Danio rerio: one gene and its partners. The protein of the gene in region 1 purifies or fractionates together with the protein of each later gene. This does not show direct contact. Links are inferred from orthologs where the notes say so. Each region holds a gene or a part of one and is shown in the gene's direction. Other genes may lie near its edges.

The links.
Region 2: the proteins of cdk5rap3 (region 1) and pip4p2 purify together in Homo sapiens (affinity purification with mass spectrometry; 3 studies listed by BioGRID and IntAct, counting the BioPlex papers as one, with this or other methods). This does not show direct contact. The link is inferred for Danio rerio from reciprocal best matches to the Homo sapiens genes CDK5RAP3 and PIP4P2.
Region 3: the proteins of cdk5rap3 (region 1) and ufm1 purify together in Homo sapiens (co-immunoprecipitation; 3 studies listed by BioGRID and IntAct, with this or other methods). This does not show direct contact. The link is inferred for Danio rerio from reciprocal best matches to the Homo sapiens genes CDK5RAP3 and UFM1.
Region 4: the proteins of cdk5rap3 (region 1) and cdkn2a/b purify together in Homo sapiens (affinity purification with western blotting; 3 studies listed by BioGRID). This does not show direct contact. The link is inferred for Danio rerio from reciprocal best matches to the Homo sapiens genes CDK5RAP3 and CDKN2A.

Annotation. Positions count from the first base shown.
Region 1 is NC_133187.1:30,656,728-30,661,556, forward strand, and holds the start of cdk5rap3 (CDK5 regulatory subunit-associated protein 3), read left to right. Parts: upstream 1-1,457; 5' UTR 1,458-1,556; coding exon 1,557-1,562; intron 1,563-1,807; coding exon 1,808-1,853; intron 1,854-2,033; coding exon 2,034-2,165; intron 2,166-2,242; coding exon 2,243-2,343; intron 2,344-2,907; coding exon 2,908-2,956; intron 2,957-3,053; coding exon 3,054-3,232; intron 3,233-3,306; coding exon 3,307-3,443; intron 3,444-3,530; coding exon 3,531-3,675; intron 3,676-3,790; coding exon 3,791-3,904; intron 3,905-3,985; coding exon 3,986-4,067; intron 4,068-4,829. UniProt on the Homo sapiens protein: Substrate adapter of E3 ligase complexes mediating ufmylation, the covalent attachment of the ubiquitin-like modifier UFM1 to substrate proteins, and which is involved in various processes, such as ribosome recycling and reticulophagy (also called ER-phagy).
Region 2 is NC_133194.1:33,870,164-33,874,422, forward strand, and holds part of pip4p2 (type 2 phosphatidylinositol 4,5-bisphosphate 4-phosphatase), read left to right. Parts: intron 1-2,640; coding exon 2,641-2,789; intron 2,790-4,259. UniProt on the Homo sapiens protein: Catalyzes the hydrolysis of phosphatidylinositol-4,5-bisphosphate (PtdIns-4,5-P2) to phosphatidylinositol-4-phosphate (PtdIns-4-P).
Region 3 is NC_133185.1:30,887,543-30,892,434, forward strand, and holds the start of ufm1 (ubiquitin-fold modifier 1), read left to right. Parts: upstream 1-1,877; 5' UTR 1,878-1,908; coding exon 1,909-1,910; intron 1,911-1,998; coding exon 1,999-2,055; intron 2,056-2,750; exon of another isoform or gene 2,751-2,761; coding exon of another isoform or gene 2,762-2,914; intron 2,915-2,915; coding exon of another isoform or gene 2,916-3,025; intron 3,026-3,026; coding exon of another isoform or gene 3,027-3,339; exon of another isoform or gene 3,340-3,376; intron 3,377-4,892. UniProt on the Homo sapiens protein: Ubiquitin-like modifier which can be covalently attached via an isopeptide bond to lysine residues of substrate proteins as a monomer or a lysine-linked polymer.
Region 4 is NC_133176.1:27,775,803-27,780,723, reverse strand, and holds the start of cdkn2a/b (cyclin-dependent kinase inhibitor 2A), read left to right. Parts: upstream 1-1,809; 5' UTR 1,810-2,071; coding exon 2,072-2,197; intron 2,198-3,855; coding exon 3,856-4,107; 3' UTR 4,108-4,921. UniProt on the Homo sapiens protein: Acts as a negative regulator of the proliferation of normal cells by interacting strongly with CDK4 and CDK6. This inhibits their ability to interact with cyclins D and to phosphorylate the retinoblastoma protein.

The DNA of each region.
Region 1 (4,829 bases):
GACAAATTAATAAACTATTAATCAATAAACTATTTATGTTTAAAAAAATTGACAGAAGTCTTTATATAAACTTTTATTGCAAAACATTACCAGCTCCTAGTGAAATAAGTGTGTAAATGAATAAGTACTGGTAATTACTATGTATTAGTATGAATATGTTACTAATGAAAAATACTATCTGTCTGCAGACGCTTATTTAATATTTACGTGTAATGAATATGCATGTAATGGAAAAGTAGTTTGTTATGAATAACAAGAAGTAATACCTATACTTACAATAATGTTAAGATGCTTGTCAGCCTAGTTTTAAAAAAAATAAGTAGGCCTGAAATGATGTCTGTAGGTTTATAAATTGAGTGTTAAAACAGCTTGCCATCAAGGCAGACACATAATAGAGATAAGATTTGCTGTGAACTGGCAAACAGAAAAATCTATAAAACCACCTTGTTCAAATATAACCGAGTAAGAGCTGGCTGTTTAACATAAATGTACATACACATAAAGTGTACATTATAAATTGTGCAAGCAGAAATAAGCACAAAAGTACGATAAAATGATGCTATTCATTGATATTTACTGTCCATTGGCAGGTCTATATGAAATAAAATGCCTACTTATATTTTGTGTCAAGCTAATAAAAAAAGAAGTTGCGCCATCTTGTGGACAATTCTACTTAGCTGTCTCTGATAATAGCCTATATTAAAAAATAACATTTATTTCAGGCAGGCTACTGCGAATAAAAGTGAAATTCGGGGATTAAAATGTATTTATTTGGGTTACTTAATTTTTATGTTATGTTTTTGTTATGCTAACGATGAAAGCATTTGATTGGAGACTGGAGAGTAGGCTATTCATATGTAAATTATAACTTAATAGTTTTGAGTTTTTGTAGCAATTTGAGATGAGTTATGGGCTATAGTGAGTTTGAATATGCTCGTTTGACGAGTGTTCAATTTAAACCCTGATAATTCGTGTTTAAAATACAATTAATTAGCCATTCTCTTTTTACCAAATTTGTAAATTGTCTATAAGTACATCTATTTTTAATGTCGCAAATATATTTGTGTTTATTATTTATTTATTTATTTATTTATTTATTTATGTATTTATTTATTTATTTATTTATTTATTTATTTTTAATCAATCTACATCAATGTTTCTCCAACAAAGGTCGGAGACCTCGCAAAACAATCTTGTTTATTCATATTTTATGAATTTGATAACAAATATTTCTGTTAATGTAAAAAGAAACAAACCCTTTAAACTACAAAACGAGCCTTTAAAAGGGCGAATAAAATGTGAAGAAAAAAACAGTTGGTGTTGACTTTTATTTTGGCGTTACAAGGAAGTAAATACAGGTTCTTCTATCCTTGCAGTTTATTGGTGTTTCAGCACAAGGATCGTTTGACGCATTAGTGTCATGTCCGTTGATTGGCCAGATGTGGATGTACGTGTCAGTGGAAATGTAAACTTGTGCTGAATCCTGTCGAATTGCTGTACAAGCATGGGGTCGTTTTAGTAATTCTTTTAACAAAATAACGACAGCAACGTTTGCAATGGAGGTAAAACAATAACATTATTAATATCATTATAAATTAAGTCATTTTTTTTTATCAGACTTCGTACTCTTTGGGTAAAGAAAACTCATCATGTTTAAAGACTCTGACAAGCTGTCATAACTGGATGACTGTTATTTTATTAATAAACATACACTTTTTCAATAATTCCATAATAATGTGTGAAAAGTTGATGTGACTGTTGTTAGCATGTATAATGTACATTTATTATTAAAAATCTCGTTTAACAGAACATCCAGAATCTCCCTATTGACATCCAAACCAGTAAACTCTTGGGTGAGACTGCTTTATACTCATTTGTGCAGGTTTAACTTAGACTTATTATCATGCGATTTGTAGCTATATTGTTAGCTAAATGTGGCTCAGCTTGAATAAACAACAGCTTAGATCTTGCACAGATGTAATGTCTTATTCCTCTTCTTCTACTTTTTCCTCTTCCTCTCCTCTATATTTTAGACTGGTTGGTGGACCGAAGACACTGCACACTGAAATGGCAAAGTGCAGTTATGACCATCAGAGAGAAAATTAACGCTGCCATTCAGGATATGCCAGAAAACGAAGAGATCAAACAGCTGCTCTCCGGCTCATGTAAAGAAAAAGTTATATATTCCTGTTATTTGTATTTTATTTAATTTTGGATGTACTCATACTGAATTTTGTTGCAGATATTCACCATTTCCATTGCTTACAAATAATCGAAGTATTAAAAGGAACGGAAGCGTCCACCAAAAATATTTTTGGCAGATATTCATCACAAAGGATGAAGGTGCTGTTTATTTGCATTTTAATGTGCAGTTTATTACACTTAAAATTGTACATAGTCTACATACTTATTATTGCTAATAAAATATCCTTACTTTCTATCACATATACTATGGAAAATAAAAACATGAGACCGCTTAAAAATTCTCAGTGTCTCTGGATTTACAATTTAAAGTTGTATGACTGGGGAAAAACCTAATTTTCATTTTATTCTGTAAACTACTAATAGCTTTTATACCATAATAGCGATATTTTAAATTCAGCAGAGTTAAGGAATAAGTATTTCTATGTTGTGTTTTTTTCTCTTTGTACTATTTAGAAGAAATGCTGTCAGTTTACTCAAACCCATAACTAAAAATGGCAAAACTCCAGAGAAGCAAAGAATGTTTAAGTGGCCCTTAATGTTTCCATTCATGTATATTTATCAACTCTGAAGTCTGAACTTTACTAAACTTCTATCTTAAGCTGCTTTGACACAATCTACATTGTAAAACCACTATATAAATAAACATGAATTGAATTGAATATTTACATATATTTAATTAACTGTAATATACTTCATCAACAGGACTGGCAAGAGATAGTGTCCATGTATGAAAAAGACAATGTCTATTTGGGTAAGCAATCATCAAATCACCATCACCAAATTTTTTTAAATTTTAGACTACACAATCAAAGTGAGATGATAGTATGCATGTGTGTTTTTAATTCCAGCTGAAATGGCCAGTATTTTGGTTCGTAATGTAAGTTATGAAGGGCCAGCTTTAAGGAAGCAGGTGTCTAAAGCTCAACAGCTGCAGCAGGAGCTGAGCCGACGTGAGCTGGAGTGTCAGAGCGGTTCTGCCGACATGAGAGAACGCTATTATGCTGCCTGTAAACAGTACGGCATAAAAGTGAGCTATGATTGTCATTTATTGTAACATAATGGCTTTTACACATACTAACAAATAACATTTGTGTTTCACAGGGGGAAAACGTGGCAAGGGAGTTGCAAGCACAGGTTAAAGATCTGCCTGTGGTTTTAGAAGAAACTGGAAAAAAAGCTGCCTGTCTGAAAGATGCCATAGAGTTTTACACAGCATTCACTAAGTTTGTCAGCGACTGGCAAGTGTTACTTTCATTTCTAATGTTGCACCTGATTCTTTTAATCGATATTGTGAAATGTTTGTCATAGTTTACTTGCTTTTTCAGGTCGGAGGAAGTACTGCCCTTACTGAGGTTTGTCCAGAAGAAAGGAAACACAACTGTATATGAGAGAAAGACTGGAAATGTGCCTAAAGTTGTAGAGAGACCTGTAATGGAGGAAGCACCCCCAGATGTTGTTACAGAGGAGACGGTAAGTCACTATTCAAGATTTTAAGTTTTTTTTTTTTTTTTTTACATAGGACTTAAACAAAGGATCAGTATTGTCTCTCCCTCCAGAATCTCACTGTTTTTCTTGGTTCTTGCAGATTGACTGGGGTGATCTTGGCAGCGGTGCTGGTACTGGTAGTGAAGAGGTAAATTTTGGGATTTCTGTTGAGGATGGTGTGGATTGGGGTATCGGTCTTGAGTCTGGTACTGAGGTAAGCACCCTAAATATTTACTACAGATATATTCAGACCCCTCAAGACATAGAATTAAAAGGGTCTTCCAATCTACTTTAGGAAACAAGTGGTGGTGGTATTAACTGGGGAGACTCTGAATCTGCCCCATTGGAAATTGAAGTTGTGGATGTGGGCACAGACTGTAAGTTTCCTTGGGTGTTTAAAGTTTGTTCATTGAGCAGCAAATTAATAATGAAAGAATTCAGCTTTGGCATTACATATCAAAATGTATGATTTTTTTTTTACTTTGAATTGAAATTATATTACACTACTATTGCTTTCATAGTTTTTGAAATACTGTGAATTAGAGAAAAAAGTTTCAAAAACCTTTTAAAATATTACAAATTGCTAACCGTAGTGCATGTTTACATGAAAATAATTTTGAGTTTCTGTCCTTGATAATAAAATAAATCTGTTATTATAAATTAATAAATCCCAAAGAATAGTATTTAATTGATTTTCAATTTAGTAAATTAGTAGAATCAGTTAAAACTAGGCATATATGTAATCAGAACTTGGAAGACATTTAAGTCTATTGTGCAAAATATTGCATTGTCTAAAATAGGGCTGCAATATATCGTTTCAGCATCGATATTCAGCATCGTTTCAACATCGATATCGTTTCAGCATCACAGTGAGATCATTCGCAAAAGTCACTTCGCAGCATATGCAATATTGCATTATTATTATAATTATTATAATTGATCATTTGCATGTGTTTATGATGCCAATGATTGTATAACTATTTTAAAAGCATTCAGGTATAAGAAATTGTACCATTTGTGACCTTAATTAGGATTAATTTCATTCATTTATTTTCCTTTGTTCCTTTATTAATCTGGGGTCGCCACAGCGGAATGAACCGCCAACTTATCCAGCACGTGTTTACGCAGCGGATGCCCTT
Region 2 (4,259 bases), on another chromosome or scaffold:
AGGCCCAGATACTGTACTGTAGATGAAAGTGTGAATAGGCTGCACTTATTGTTGAACACAGTGAATCTGCATTTATTTGGATGAGGATTGCCAGCAAGAAGACACATATATAATAGAAACGTTACATATATTTTGTCTTGGCATTGGCCTAAAAGACAAAACGCTAGATGTCTAGATGACTTTGATTCATTTTTATGGCTCTGTGATTGAGAAAAAGGATTCTCCTTGGTTTTTATATGGCTTATTGGTCAATTGTGGCATTCAAAGTCAAAGATTTTTGTGTAATGACCGCTAAATTCTTGTGAACTGCTCTTCTTTCATGTCTCTATTATTCCTCTGTGGTTTCTTTCTTCTCACATAATTGAGTTATTTAAACTCAAATCAATATTTCATGCTCTTTCAATTATGTATTTGATAAATAGCCATGCAATAGAGGAATAATACATGGAATAATAGAACTGAGCTGGTCATCATGGCAAAATTAGCCTCTTAAACAAAACCCAGTCACCCTGTCTGGGGTTATTTTGCAATAATGGCCAGCTGAATGTACGTTAACAATCCAATACTTGCACTACTCAAGCCAGTTTATACTTTACTTCTATAAAGTTAAAAAAGTCACACATGGATAGGGTCTTTTATGCAGACAATAAGCAGATAATGATACAAAGTGTGGGTTTATGGATTGAACTCCACTCTAAAAAAATATTGTTTAGACCAGTAGTTCTCAAACTTTTTTCACCAAGTACCACCTCAGGAAAACTTGTCTCTTCAAGTACCACCATAATGACTGGTATTGAAATACATAGTAAGCCTAATTAAGCGGCTACTGCACAGTTCACAAATGTGGCAGATTGATTATTATTATTATGAATATTTATTATTGTCAGCCACTTTAAACATAATAAATACATAATAAATATGTGATAAATAAAAATGTGATTTTAAAAGTTAATTAAAAATAGCACTGTTCTTAAAAAGTTCAAAGAAATCTGCTGTACTTAAATGTAAAGTATTATCATAAACAATTACAGGTGGGCCCCACGCGGGCTAGCCAATGTGGTTGGATATAGGGCATGTGCCCCAGTAAAAATCTATGATCATAAATAATTACAGGTGGGGCCCATGATAACAGATGTCATAAGTTATTTCATAGAGTGTAGCTGATTTATTTATGCAGTAGTATTATTAAAGTAAAAAAATATTTTAAAGTCAACATTACATAGACACAATAATAGTTTGTTTTTCACTGTTGTGAAGTAAATCCCAGTGACAACATCTCGAACATGAGAAAATGTACTTGATTTTGTAACTTTTTCAGTAGTACTGGATTTGAAAATATTTTTCCCATTGTTTTTTATCTTAGATCTTTTGATTAAAGTGTTATGATTAAAGTGTTATGAGCCACAAACCAAACCAACCAACTGTATGGTGAATCACAACATTATGAATTTCATTTGAAGCAAAGAAACATATAAAAACATGATAAAAACAAAAGTACAAGACTTGACAACCTAATAGAGGCAAAGAACTACAATCCCATGAAGTTATGCAAATGTTACAATTTAAAATGATTGGAGAACTATACAATTGTTCATTTAAAGTCGTTGGTTGTATCCATCATGTTTCAAGCATGCTTCATGGGAGTGGGTGGAGCTGAGTTTGCAATGCACTTTGCTACCTGCACCTCTCTGATTGGTAGAAATTGTCAAAGTTAATATGCAAATTTGAGCAGAAAAAAATACACCATGTTGTACACTACATCATGTTAATAAATTCTACTATTATTTCTTTATAGAGCACTGATAGGAAAACCCTGCATACTCACCGGGAAAAAATCTGGAGTCTTACAAGACCTGTCAAACTAGGCCTGGGGGTTATTAGATCTTTGAACTTTAAATGACTTTTTTATTTGATTGTAATCACTGTCAATAACCATATATGATTCCTCAAAAACTTTTCTTAGTCAGAAAGTTACAGCAAGCAAAGTGCACAAAATGAGAGATTGCTTTAAAATAAGTTGAATTCATGTGAACATATACAGTCGATTAACAACCTCTGCATGTCTTTAAAGTTTTTCGGTTATTGTTAAAAACTACAATTTCTAATTATTTTTTTACTATTATGTTCATAACCTGACTTTTGCATTCTGTAGGGAATTTTGTTGTTTTAAATAATTGTCAATGTCATGTGACCATGAATGTTCATCAATTTTGTCCTAACGATTGATTATTAAACAAATGATTTTAAAAGGAGATTTGTTGTTATTAATTTTTTGCACTGTTATATTTTATTCTAACTTACATGATACATGATGTTTTCAGAGCAAATTAGAGATTTCTGTAATTCTATGTAAAAATGTTTTTGCTCAAGGAAGATACTCACCAGTTGATGGTCATATAAATAAGTGTGTCCTTGTTTTATCATTAACTGTGTGTGAAAGATTAAGGGTCTTTAACATAAAACCAGTAAATGTTTCTGAGCATTATGCACATAAATCATTGCTTGTCTTTTGTTTATGTGCTCAAACCTATCATATGTGAAACCTATACTGCACAGCAAATAACTACTATCAGACAATTGATCTATTATTGTGACAGGTCAGCTGAAAGACTGTATTTTGTTTTTTGTCTTCATCTGCAGCTGAATTACCTCCGCCCTACACAGCCATTGCCAGTCCAGATGCAGGAGGAGTGCCAGTCATCAACTGTCGAGTGTGCCAATCTCTTATAACTCTGGATGGCAAACTCCATCAGCATGTGGTGAAGTGCACCGTCTGTAATGAGGCCACGGTAAGAGAACCTGACTGCAGATAGCGCTTAGTCATGCACTCCTTTAGTCCACCATCTTTCTCTTTGATTTAATAACCAAAAGCTTTTGCCACCTCACTTATTTTTTTGCATGTTCTCACACTTTAAAAGTTCTGATCATCCAACAAATTTAGTCAAAATTAAGTCAAAGAAAACACAAATAAACACTTCATGCAGTTTTTAGTTTTTAAATAAAGGCTTTTTTATTAAGGGAAAACAAAATAAAAAACTACTTAGCCCTATGTTTAAAAGTGTTTCCACTATTACACCCCCCCCCCACACACACACACACAACCCTCACCTGTTTAAACATAACTTAACTCTGGTTTATTACACCTGAGTTCAATTTTTAGGCTTGATTATGGCTACACCTGTTCGAAGTCAAGAAATCACCTAAAATAGGACCTGCCTGACAAAGTGATGTAGACCAAAAGATCCTCAAAAATTAGACATCATGCAGAGATCTAAAGAAAACTCAAAAACAAGTTAAGAAAAAAATATTGAGATCTAGAAAGATTTGGGACTATAGCAAACCACAGTGAGAGCTATTATCTACTAATGGCAAAAACGTAGGACAGTATAGAATTTTCCCAGGAGTGGTCGGCCACCAAAATGACCTGCGACATCTCTTCCAAAAGGTTAGAAAAGAAGAATCCAAAGAACTGCAGGCCTCACTTGCCTCAGTTAAGGTGAGTGTTCATGACTCTACCATAAGAAAGAGACTGGGCAAAAAGTGTTTGCATGGCAGAGTTTCAAGACAAAAACCACTGCTGAGCAAAAAGAACACAAAGGTTCGTCTCAGTTTTGGGAAACACTTTGGGGAAAATATTTTGTGGACTGATGAGACAAAACTTTTGAACGGTTTGTGTCCTATTATGTGTGGCATAAAAGTAGCACTGCATTTCAGAAAAAGAACATCATACCAAGAGTAAAATGTGGTTGTGGTAGAGTGATGGTCTGTGGCGGTTTTGCTGCTTCAGGACCTGAAAGACTTGCTGTGATAAATGGAACCATGAATTCTGCTGTGTACAGAAATATCCTGAAGGACAATTTCTGGCCATTTGTTAGTGACCTCAGGCTGAAGCAAATTTGGGTTCAGCAGTAGGACAATGATCCAAAGCACACCAGCAAGTCCACTTTTTAATGGCTGAAGAAAAGTAAAATGAAGACTTTGGAGTGGCCTACTCAAAGTCCTGACCTGAATCCAGTTGAGATGCTGTGGCATGACCTAAAAATGCGGTTCATGTTTGAAAGCCCTCCAATGTGGCTGAAGTACAACAATTCTGCAAAGATGAGTCAAAGTTCTTCCACAGTGCTGTAACAGACTTATGGCAAGTTTTTGAGAACGCTTGACTGCAGTTGTTGCTTTTAAGGGTGATCCAACCAGTTATTAGTTTAGGAGGAAGGTTTGTGCCCCATTATGTGTGACATAAAAGTAACACTGTTATACAG
Region 3 (4,892 bases), on another chromosome or scaffold:
TACTGTTGAAAGTGTTAACACTAAAGCGAGCAAATTCGTGCATGCACAGCTCCACAACTCCCAAACCAAGCAAGCCAGTGGAGAGAGTGGTAAGGGAAAAAACTTCACCAATTGATGAAGTAAAGGAAAAAAACCTAGAGAGAAACTAGGCTTTGTTGGGCATGACCATCATTCCTCTAGCCAAACTTCCTGTGTGGAGCTGCAGTCTGAGCGTGGGAGGCTGGAGAATGCTGAACGTCTATCGTGGAGAACTGCAGGTGTGAGTAGGTCACCAGCGGGTAATCGGGCTGGCCCACTGGATCTTGCGAAGACTTGTCTGTCACTTTTATCTTTCAGGAATCAGTCTTCATAGTGTGTATTAACGAGCTGCAAAAATGGAGTGTTATAAATGAGAATAGTAGTTATATAAACAAACATGAAAACAAACATGTTAAGCATACAGTATGGGTGCTTATAACAAGATGTCTAGTGCATGGCGAAGCAGTGGTACAGTAGGTATTGCTGTCGCCTCACAGCAAGAAGGTCGCTGGTTCAATCCTCGGCTCAGTTGGCGTTTCTGTGAAAAGTTTGCATGTTCTCTCTGCGTTCGTGTGGGTTTCCTATATGTGCTCTGGTTTCCTCCACAGTCCAAAGACATGTGGTACAGGTGATTTGGTGAATTGTTAAGCTAAATTGTCTGTAGTGTATGAGTGTTTGTGGATGTTTCCCAGAGATGGGTTGTGGCTTGAAGGACATCTGCTGCGTAAAAACGTGCTAGATAAGTTGGTGGTTCATTCTGCTGTGGCGACCCCAGATAAATAAAGGGACTAAGCTGACAAGAAAATGAATGTGTAGAGCATTAAAACAAGAGGAGTGTGTCCTACAGGTGGTTGTCACACACTCATGCATCATACCATTATGCGATGCATTGTGTGTATGCTTTACTAAACAGATAGGTCTTTAATCTAGTTTTGAACTAAGAGAGTGTGTCTGAGCCTCGGACATCATCAGGAAGGCTATTTCAGAGTTTAGTAGCCAAATGAGAAGGCTCAATCTCCTCCAGAAGCTTTGAGCTCTTATAGAATGGGTTGGATTGTAGCGAGATTGCTTAGATAAACAGGAGCTAGATTATTAAAAGCTTTATCGGTTAGAAGCAATATTTTATAATCAATGCTGAACTGATAAGGAACAGACAGCCAGTGTAATGGACAATAAAATTGGGGTGATATAATATTTTCTAGGCCTGGTAAGAACTTTGGCAGCTGCATTTTGCAGTAACTGAAGTTGCATTTAATACAAATTTAAGTTTCCAGTATTTCTAATCTATGTAATGGTTCATTATTTGGACTTATTTAAGCTTTGGTTCCCTCTAATAATTCTAACGCATGTAATGAAATATCTAATCTATTCAATATAATGTTTTGGCTATTTTTATCTTTCTAAAGTTCACTTGTAAACGTTTATATGTAATACAAGCGCACTTTCACCTTAAAACATTTTACTTATGTTCTCTCTACCCCTTTAAAAAAAATTAATAATAATTTTAAAGAATGTCTATGGTGTGCAAATACTTCTTGCTGTGTTTGCAATTCTGCTTTTCTTTATTTTCCAGCTCTCATTGCTTACACTCATTCCCCGGTGCATTAACAACATGTTTTACGGTATGTCCATCTTGGGGACGCTTGAAATATGCCTGAGTGAAATGCGCATAACGCATTATATTATTTTTTATTATCTCATATTTTTACACTTTGCTAAAATACATTAATATAATCCAAGTCGTTAAATATAGCTTTAGCCCATTAATAAAGGATAAATTAAGAAAAACGGAAAAGAGAGGTCCATCAAACGGATGACGTGTTACAGCGGGTCCCTGGGTCTTCCGGGTCAGTGTAAACAGTGTGCGGATCTCTCATACAAACCTGTAAAATGTAAGTAAAGACGTTTATCTTGTAACAGCACATTATTTTTTGTTATGTAATGTCTATAATCTGTTAATAAACTCTCTGTATGCATCAGGTCGAAAGTAACGTTTAAAATCACGCTGACGTCGGACCCGCGGTTACCATATAAAGTGTGAGTGACACATCATTCAACATGTTACACACCATCAATATTAACATTCCCCATTTATTTGTTTCATTCGCCTTGATTTGCTAAATGCTGTTGGTTTTACTAGGAACGTTTGTGATCATGTGGCAAGACTGTATTGTTTGGGGAGCTGACTTTTTCCTTACTTTCTTAATTCGTATATTAATTTATTCATAAATCTTTTTAATAAACGCGTGATCTATTAAATAACAATGACCCAACTGATTAATTAAATATACATGAACGGTATTAATGTTTTTAGCACAGTGTAAGCTCAGGAATGAGTCACTCCATGGTAAAATATGTCATGTTTTTATGTATAGAACCATATATTTCCCCATGTTAACTTATCACAGTGCATCAAGAGAACTGTTTTGTGTTACAGGTTAGTTAGGTGTGCAGACATTTTAATATAACTTCATAAAACTCAGATCAATATTCTTGTTTCATTTTGTTAATGCATTTAAGGCTGTATTGTATATATATTCTTTACTGACATTTGCATTACAGTATAATTCAGAACATGCATTCAGCAAGTAAATATGTCGCCATATGTTGGAGAATAAAATGTTATATTATTAAATGTTAAAGGAACAAACCCCTCTTTGTAAATAACACCTTGAAAAAAATAGTGTGCATAAAAGTATTTAGCATTTACTAAGCAGCGAGATTTCCCCCTCAATCTGCGAGAATGAAGACCATTCTCAGTAAGCAGACAGTGGACACCCCAGACAATGTCATGCTGTCCCTCAAGGGCCGCACAGTTACCATTTAGGGACCCAGTACTGTTCTCTACCAGTAGTTCAACCACATTAACCTGGAACTCAGTCTGTTGGGCAAGAAACAGAAAAAAGCTGCGTGTGGATAAGTGGTGGGTTAAAAGAAAAGAGTTGGCCACAGTCCGCAGCATCTGCAGTCATGTCCAGAACATGATCAAGGGGGTCAACCTGGGCTTTCAAAATACTATCTGTATATGACCATTTTCCCATTAATGTGGTCATCCAAGAGTCTGGCTCACTGATGGAGATCAGAAACTTCTTGGGAGAGAAGTGCATCCACCATGTCCGCATGAGGCAAGGAGTTGTGTGTGCAGTGTCTGCCACTCAAAAAGATGAGTTGGTTTTGGAGGATAATTACATGTAGCTGGTATCAAACTCAACTGCTCTGATCTAGCAGGCCACCACTGTGAGAAAGAAAGACATCTGAAAGTTCCTGGATGGGATTTATGTCAGCGAGAAGGGCACAGTGGTGGAACAGCAAGAGGACTAAATTAGTCTCTGTAAAATCTGTCAATAAAGACAATTCCATTTTTTTAGTAAAATAAAAAAAATTACTCTGTAGTGAAATTAACCGTTATAATGTAACAAGGAATTGGAAGTAATTCATTTTTAAAAAGGGATGTTTTTTCTCCTCTTTAATTCATACTTGGACATAATATAATATAATATAATATAATATGAAAATCAATCTTTTGTTTACAGCAATGTTTAAATTTTCTGCTTTATGAATGAACATAAATTTTAAAAAGAAAGCTTTTTCTTTATCATAAATATAATGTGATTCTTATTTGGCATAAAATTAAAGTTAGCAGTCAAACAGCGCATTTCAAACATTACAATTATACATCCCTGATGAACATTTCCAAAATTTCTCATATTTGAAGTGAATGCTGCAAAATAATGTCTTAAATAATGGTTCTCTTAAATAATTTAATCAAATAAAACATACAATATATGGTCAGTGAGGCAGTTCGTCAATAATTATGTGGAATTTTCATGTTTGTGCTGCTGAACTGAATTTCTGCCTAAAAAATAAAAATTATATTTCCATTTTGAGAACAGGGTTCCTGCGGGGTCTTAAATTTCAAAAACAAGCTTTTAGGCCCTAAAAAGTCTTAAATTCACTGACATATTGTGCTGTAGATCTTAAATCATTTTAAAAAGGTCTTAATTTTCATCTGTCCAAGTAAAGCTACCCAATCGAAATGACATCCATCAACAATTCATCTCAATGAAACTTTTATTTTTTATATATATATATATATATATATATATATATATATATATATATATATATATATATATATATATATATATATTTTTTTTTTTTTTTTTTTTATTTATTTATTTTTTTTTATTTTTGCAAAAAGATCCAATTTACAAGCTGTTTGACTTTTTTTTTTTACAGCAATTTCTCTTCATTAAATTCTCAATTTGGACCAAAATTCAACAAATGCATATTTTGGATTATTTATGTCACTGTCTAAACAAATTAACTTTTAACAATGTAAAACTTATAGTTTAAAAAAGTGTATACAACAAAAGTTTTCTTGTTTTGACACTAAATATTGCACTAAGAAATAATAACATTATTCATTTATCTATTTATTTATTTTTGTGGCAACCAACCGGGCCATTATTAAAAAAAAATTACTAATGTTTAGCCCTGTAAAAGTCTAAAATTTATGTTGTAATGGGCTTAAAAGGGTCTTAAAAAGTCTTACATTTGAATTTAAGAAACCTGCAGAAACTCTGGAGAAAACAACCTTTATAAAGATGTGCGCTGTGACTCAAATCTACAGATGCAAATAGATCAAATATAATAAAAGAATCGCTTAAATGTTTGTTCTTTCCACTAATCCTAAAAGATGACATTTTATGGAAGCAAAGCAGTGAGAAATCTTCAAATTGGTCAGTGCATGAAGCAGAAGGTCATGTCTTCCCTTGTGACAGTTGCTCTTAGTCTGTTTACAGTATTGATCGCAATCACTGCTGTGGTCTGTAATAATCTATAGATGTCATACTGTGTCTGACGGGTCGGCA
Region 4 (4,921 bases), on another chromosome or scaffold:
CCAAAATGCATACAAAAGTTTTTTGAATAAAGACAAGGGGGATATAACCTGAGAGAAGAACTAAATTTTATAGGAGGTTGAAAACAAGGACAACTTTAAAAAGTTTGTGTATGTCTGTCTGTGGTGTGAAATTATGGAACAGATCAGACTCTCAAACAATGTCAGCATGGTAATCAGTTTAAAAAGTTGTATAAATAAATATATATTATAAAAGGAATATAATGATGAAGGTGATTGAAAATGGTATGATGAAACTTTAATTAATGGCTATTTGCAGTACTATGTTTTTTTTTTGTTTTTTTTTTAGGTCTATGTTACAAAATGTAAAGGTACAAATGGATTTAAACATGTCAAAGATGCCAAAAGGATAAAATATGTCTCATGTAAAAAAAAGAGATGAGTGAAAGAAGAAATAGGTTTAAGTAATAGACGAATGAAGTATGTGGTAACGGGGTGGGAAAATAATAGGCTTGTGCTTCATCCCAGTCCATTTTCGAAAATGTTTTTTATTTTATTTTATTTTTTTATGATATTTTATGTATATTTTTGATCCAAAATAAATAAATCAAATCAAAACTTCTTTTTTCCCCCTTTTAATGTAGGAATTTCAACTGTGGTATTAAATATTAAAATGCTCATGCCTATTTACTGGAGTTGTGAAGTAAACTTTGTGCAGGATATCTTTTAGTTACATAGTTCAACTATTCTATTTCTACATGTTGTTTAATATCTATTCAACAAAACTAAGTAAAATAATTCATTTTTAATCGTTGCTTCTATGACATTTAAATTAAATTTTCTATTATTAACACTTAGCCAGTGGGGCTTTGCCAACTATTTTTTTTCTTTAATATTGTACTGCGTTGGTTTGTTATGATTATTTTATTTACTATTTCATATTTTAGTATCTATTTTGCATGCACATTAACCAATATTATTAACATGTTAACAACATCAAAACATGAATAAGTTAGAAAATTAAATACAAAAGCACACTGTTCTTCATTTTAAACAGGTGCATCTCAGAATGTGATTTTTACTTTATGTAAATGATCTACACAGCCACAGGACCCTTTATCTTTTTACTTATTTTCAACGTATTAGAGAGGCAACAAACTCACTGCTAAAATTAAAAACTATTTGCTACAATTGTTTAATACCTTGTTTCTGGATACAGGCTATAGTTTAGCTACAGTCGTGTGATGGGGAAATAGCATTACAAAACTGTAAGTCAGACGATGTTTGGGCAAAATTATGGCCATTCGCGTCCTTTCTATCGTGCAGAAAATAGATTTATGTTCATCTACAATCAAAAACAGAACAACCATTATGAAAAAAATATAAATATAGGCTACCACGAATGTATGTATATGCTTTTTTGTTATAATTTATGTGGATCAAAAATATAGTTTAACTTAAGCGCCCCACACAGCATAATGGCTAAATAATATACTTTAAAGTAGCCAAGTCAAACTTAATCTCTACAGGCCTAGCTAACATCGCGTCTTAATCAAAATCCATAAAATAACTTTACTCTTGAAAAACGAGAGATTTTTCCTGGTAACGTTAGCCTATTCCCGAAGAGTAACTTCTCCATGGCACAAAACCCAATTATGTTAGCATAATTAGCGTTGTGATATGCTTATGTACCCGAAAAAAAGAATAAAAAAACTTCTTGTGATCTAAAAGCAGGCTAATGCCAGTTACATTAGCCATAAAACATTAGCAGAACCTAATTTCTGTTTCTCTGCAGCCTCTCCTACTGTGTCGTAAACTCATGTCTTCCTGACTCAGCTGTTGTGCGCAGGCGCAGTATGACAGTACTGCACCACGGTTTTGCTGTGACGTTTATGACAGAGACAAGTCCGAACAAATATCTCGCTACGAAAAATTATTTTAAGACACAACACTTTGATAAACGAGTCAGTTTCGCTTATTTACGCATTATATTGGAACATGTTATTCATGGAGACCGATAAAAATAAATTACAGCGTTGAACTGATTGTTTTCGCAGTATCATCATCATTTGGTTTTACCTGTGAAGCGAATTAATTTCGAAAATCAATAAAGATGATGAACGTCGAGGATGAACTGACCACAGCAGCAGCCACCGGAAACATTTCCCATGTTCAGTTTTTACTTTCTAACGGAGTGAATGCCAATGTGGTTAACAAATTTAGAAGAACGCCTATACAGGTAGGTTTAGACGCGCTTTAAGAATAAACAACGGAAATAAACAAATGCAAATAAATAAATAAGATTAATTGCAGATATGTAACATTAAATTAGTAACATACAATTCAAAGACTTATTTTGTATTAAAGGTCATATTATTTAACAAATTTAGGCTATTTCATATTTTCACACCTGTTTGACTATATGGGATTTACTTTTCTTTTTTTTTTTTAAATATTAGGCTATTTGTGTATTTATTTTACTCATTTTAGCATGTTTAAGAACCTTTTAGGCTACTTAAACGGCCTGAAACATGTTTACCAATAGCGTGTTATCAACCTATATAATACTAACAACACTTTCTATCTTTTAGTAATGTCATTAATTTTAACATTATAATTTTAACTTATAGCTACATTCTTAGAAATTAGTCCGAAATAAGACAAGGAGTTTTGGATGTATTGTCAAAGTTCAAATTATTCAAAGAAAACTAAAATCTTATTGAAAACGAAAGTCCCAATGTACTATAACTGTGTATAAAAACCAAATGTTTACAATTATATATAAGAGATAGATAGATAGATTTATATACATAACAATAAATAAATAAGACATTTTATAGATCTTAATTTCAGATAAATTTTAAACTATTAAATCATATCTCTATGTGCGAGAAGAATGGCACACTACTTGCTAATTCACTCCCGAAAGCTTTGTTGGCATCGATGGTTTTAAGAAGAACCTTTTGCATCTATGGAGAAAATTTTTGAAAAATGTGCCTTTAAACTATTAAAATGTTTATTTCATTTTTTGACAATAAAAATACTTCTTTTGGAAGCTTTGTAATAGGTTTTCTGTGCGGAACCAGAAGGGCATCACTGCGAAAACCCTTTTCCTCTTATTGCCATGCTTGTTTTTACGAATGTACGTTTAATATTTTGACATTTGTACAGTTGGCCTATATTGACCAAAATAATCAGCCACCACTAGCACAGTCATAGACTAATGGAGTATATATTTTAGACCATACTTATTTTTGCTTGTTTTTATAATCGTGTAGGCCTATTATTATAATATTTGGTGTGAAAGTTTTCATCTAATTTTCACAATGTCCAATGGTTTTACGGTTCATGCTCTCGGTTACGGGACATCAAAAGCCGAAGAGGTAGCCTACAATAAAGTGCGTATAGATATCTTTTAGCACACTTTAAACAGATGGACAGCATACATCCAGAAATCGTAAAAGATTAGGCAATTGTAAAACTTCTGACGAGCATGAATTGCCTCAGAAAAATGTCAATTAAACGAAAGATGTTTAAGAAAATCACAAATGTGAACAAAGCATATTTATGGCATACATTTTATTTAAAATGATTATAGGAATCTTCATAATTAATCATATGAAAAATAAGAATTAGCTACAACACAATTTGTTGCATTTAATTGATTTACTGCCCGTGAATAATTTATTGATAGGCTAAAAGAGTAATGCATCATGCACAGCAATGTTCAGTGCCAGCATGTGCACTGCTTTCGTTCCTATTTAACCAAAAAGTATCTACTTTCCAGATTTCGAGTGATGGCAGTAAAATTATTGATTAAACAAACTTCTTTACAGTGACATCATGACGTTACTGGCGTTTATTTTTTCATGAGACAGCAATTTTCCCCCTCTCCAGGTGATGATGATGGGTAACGCACCTTTGGCTCTTGTGCTGCTGGAACAGGGAGCGGACCCTAATGTGCCTGACCCCGACACAGGGAGCACACCTCTGCACGACGCTGCCAGAACCGGATTCATTGACACCGTGCGGCTTTTAATCCGCTTCGGCGCCGACCCCAATACAAAAGATCACTGCGATTTACGACCAGTGGATGTGGCACAACAGACTGGCAACGTAGACGTGGTTGAATTACTCAATCGTGTTTAAAATGTTTAAAGACTGCATCACTGCATAGCCTAGGCTACTTTAGGTGGTAACCTTATTAATGCACTCAAGTACTTATAATTCTCAATAGCACATGGTCATTCATGTAGTTTGGAGATTCTAATCATTTAAAATTTTATTTCTGTATCTTTTAAGTTTATTTATTATTATTATTTATTATTAGCTAGTCAATGGGAACTTCAATAAAAGGCTACAGACACAAACCATCATACGCTCATGCTAGCCTATAGTTCGCATAATAAAAAGTGTAGACAGCATTATGTCCAAAGATAAATAAATAATTAAATAACATATCCACCTATTTGTTTTTAACCTGAAAAGCATGGCGACAAACATTGAATCAAATGGCTTGCAACGCAAGGACATCCAATATTTTTGGCGAGCTCTTTCTTTTTTCATTTCTTCCGGTTAAACATGCTTTTATTAAGTTTATAATATTGTACGACTAATAAAAATGAAACTTTCTATTTATACCAAGGCATAATTTAAATAATTTTGCTTAACGTGGTTAGCTGTTTGTTAGCTCTGTGTGGTTAAACTGTGTGGGTTAACTGACAAAAGAAACATTTAGTTTGTGCGGGATGTTTGTTAGCCTTTATTCTTAACTGTACTGTAGTGTTGAATTGATAATTGTTTCTTTTTTTCTGGCTACTCAAATACCCGGTGCAAACTAAACCCGTATGTTAATTAAGAGTTTAACCTTAAAAAACTATATATAGCCTAATAGAAAACGAGGCGCTTCATTTTACATGCATAACTCGTTTAACTAAGTGCAGGAAAGTGTATTAAAATCTCT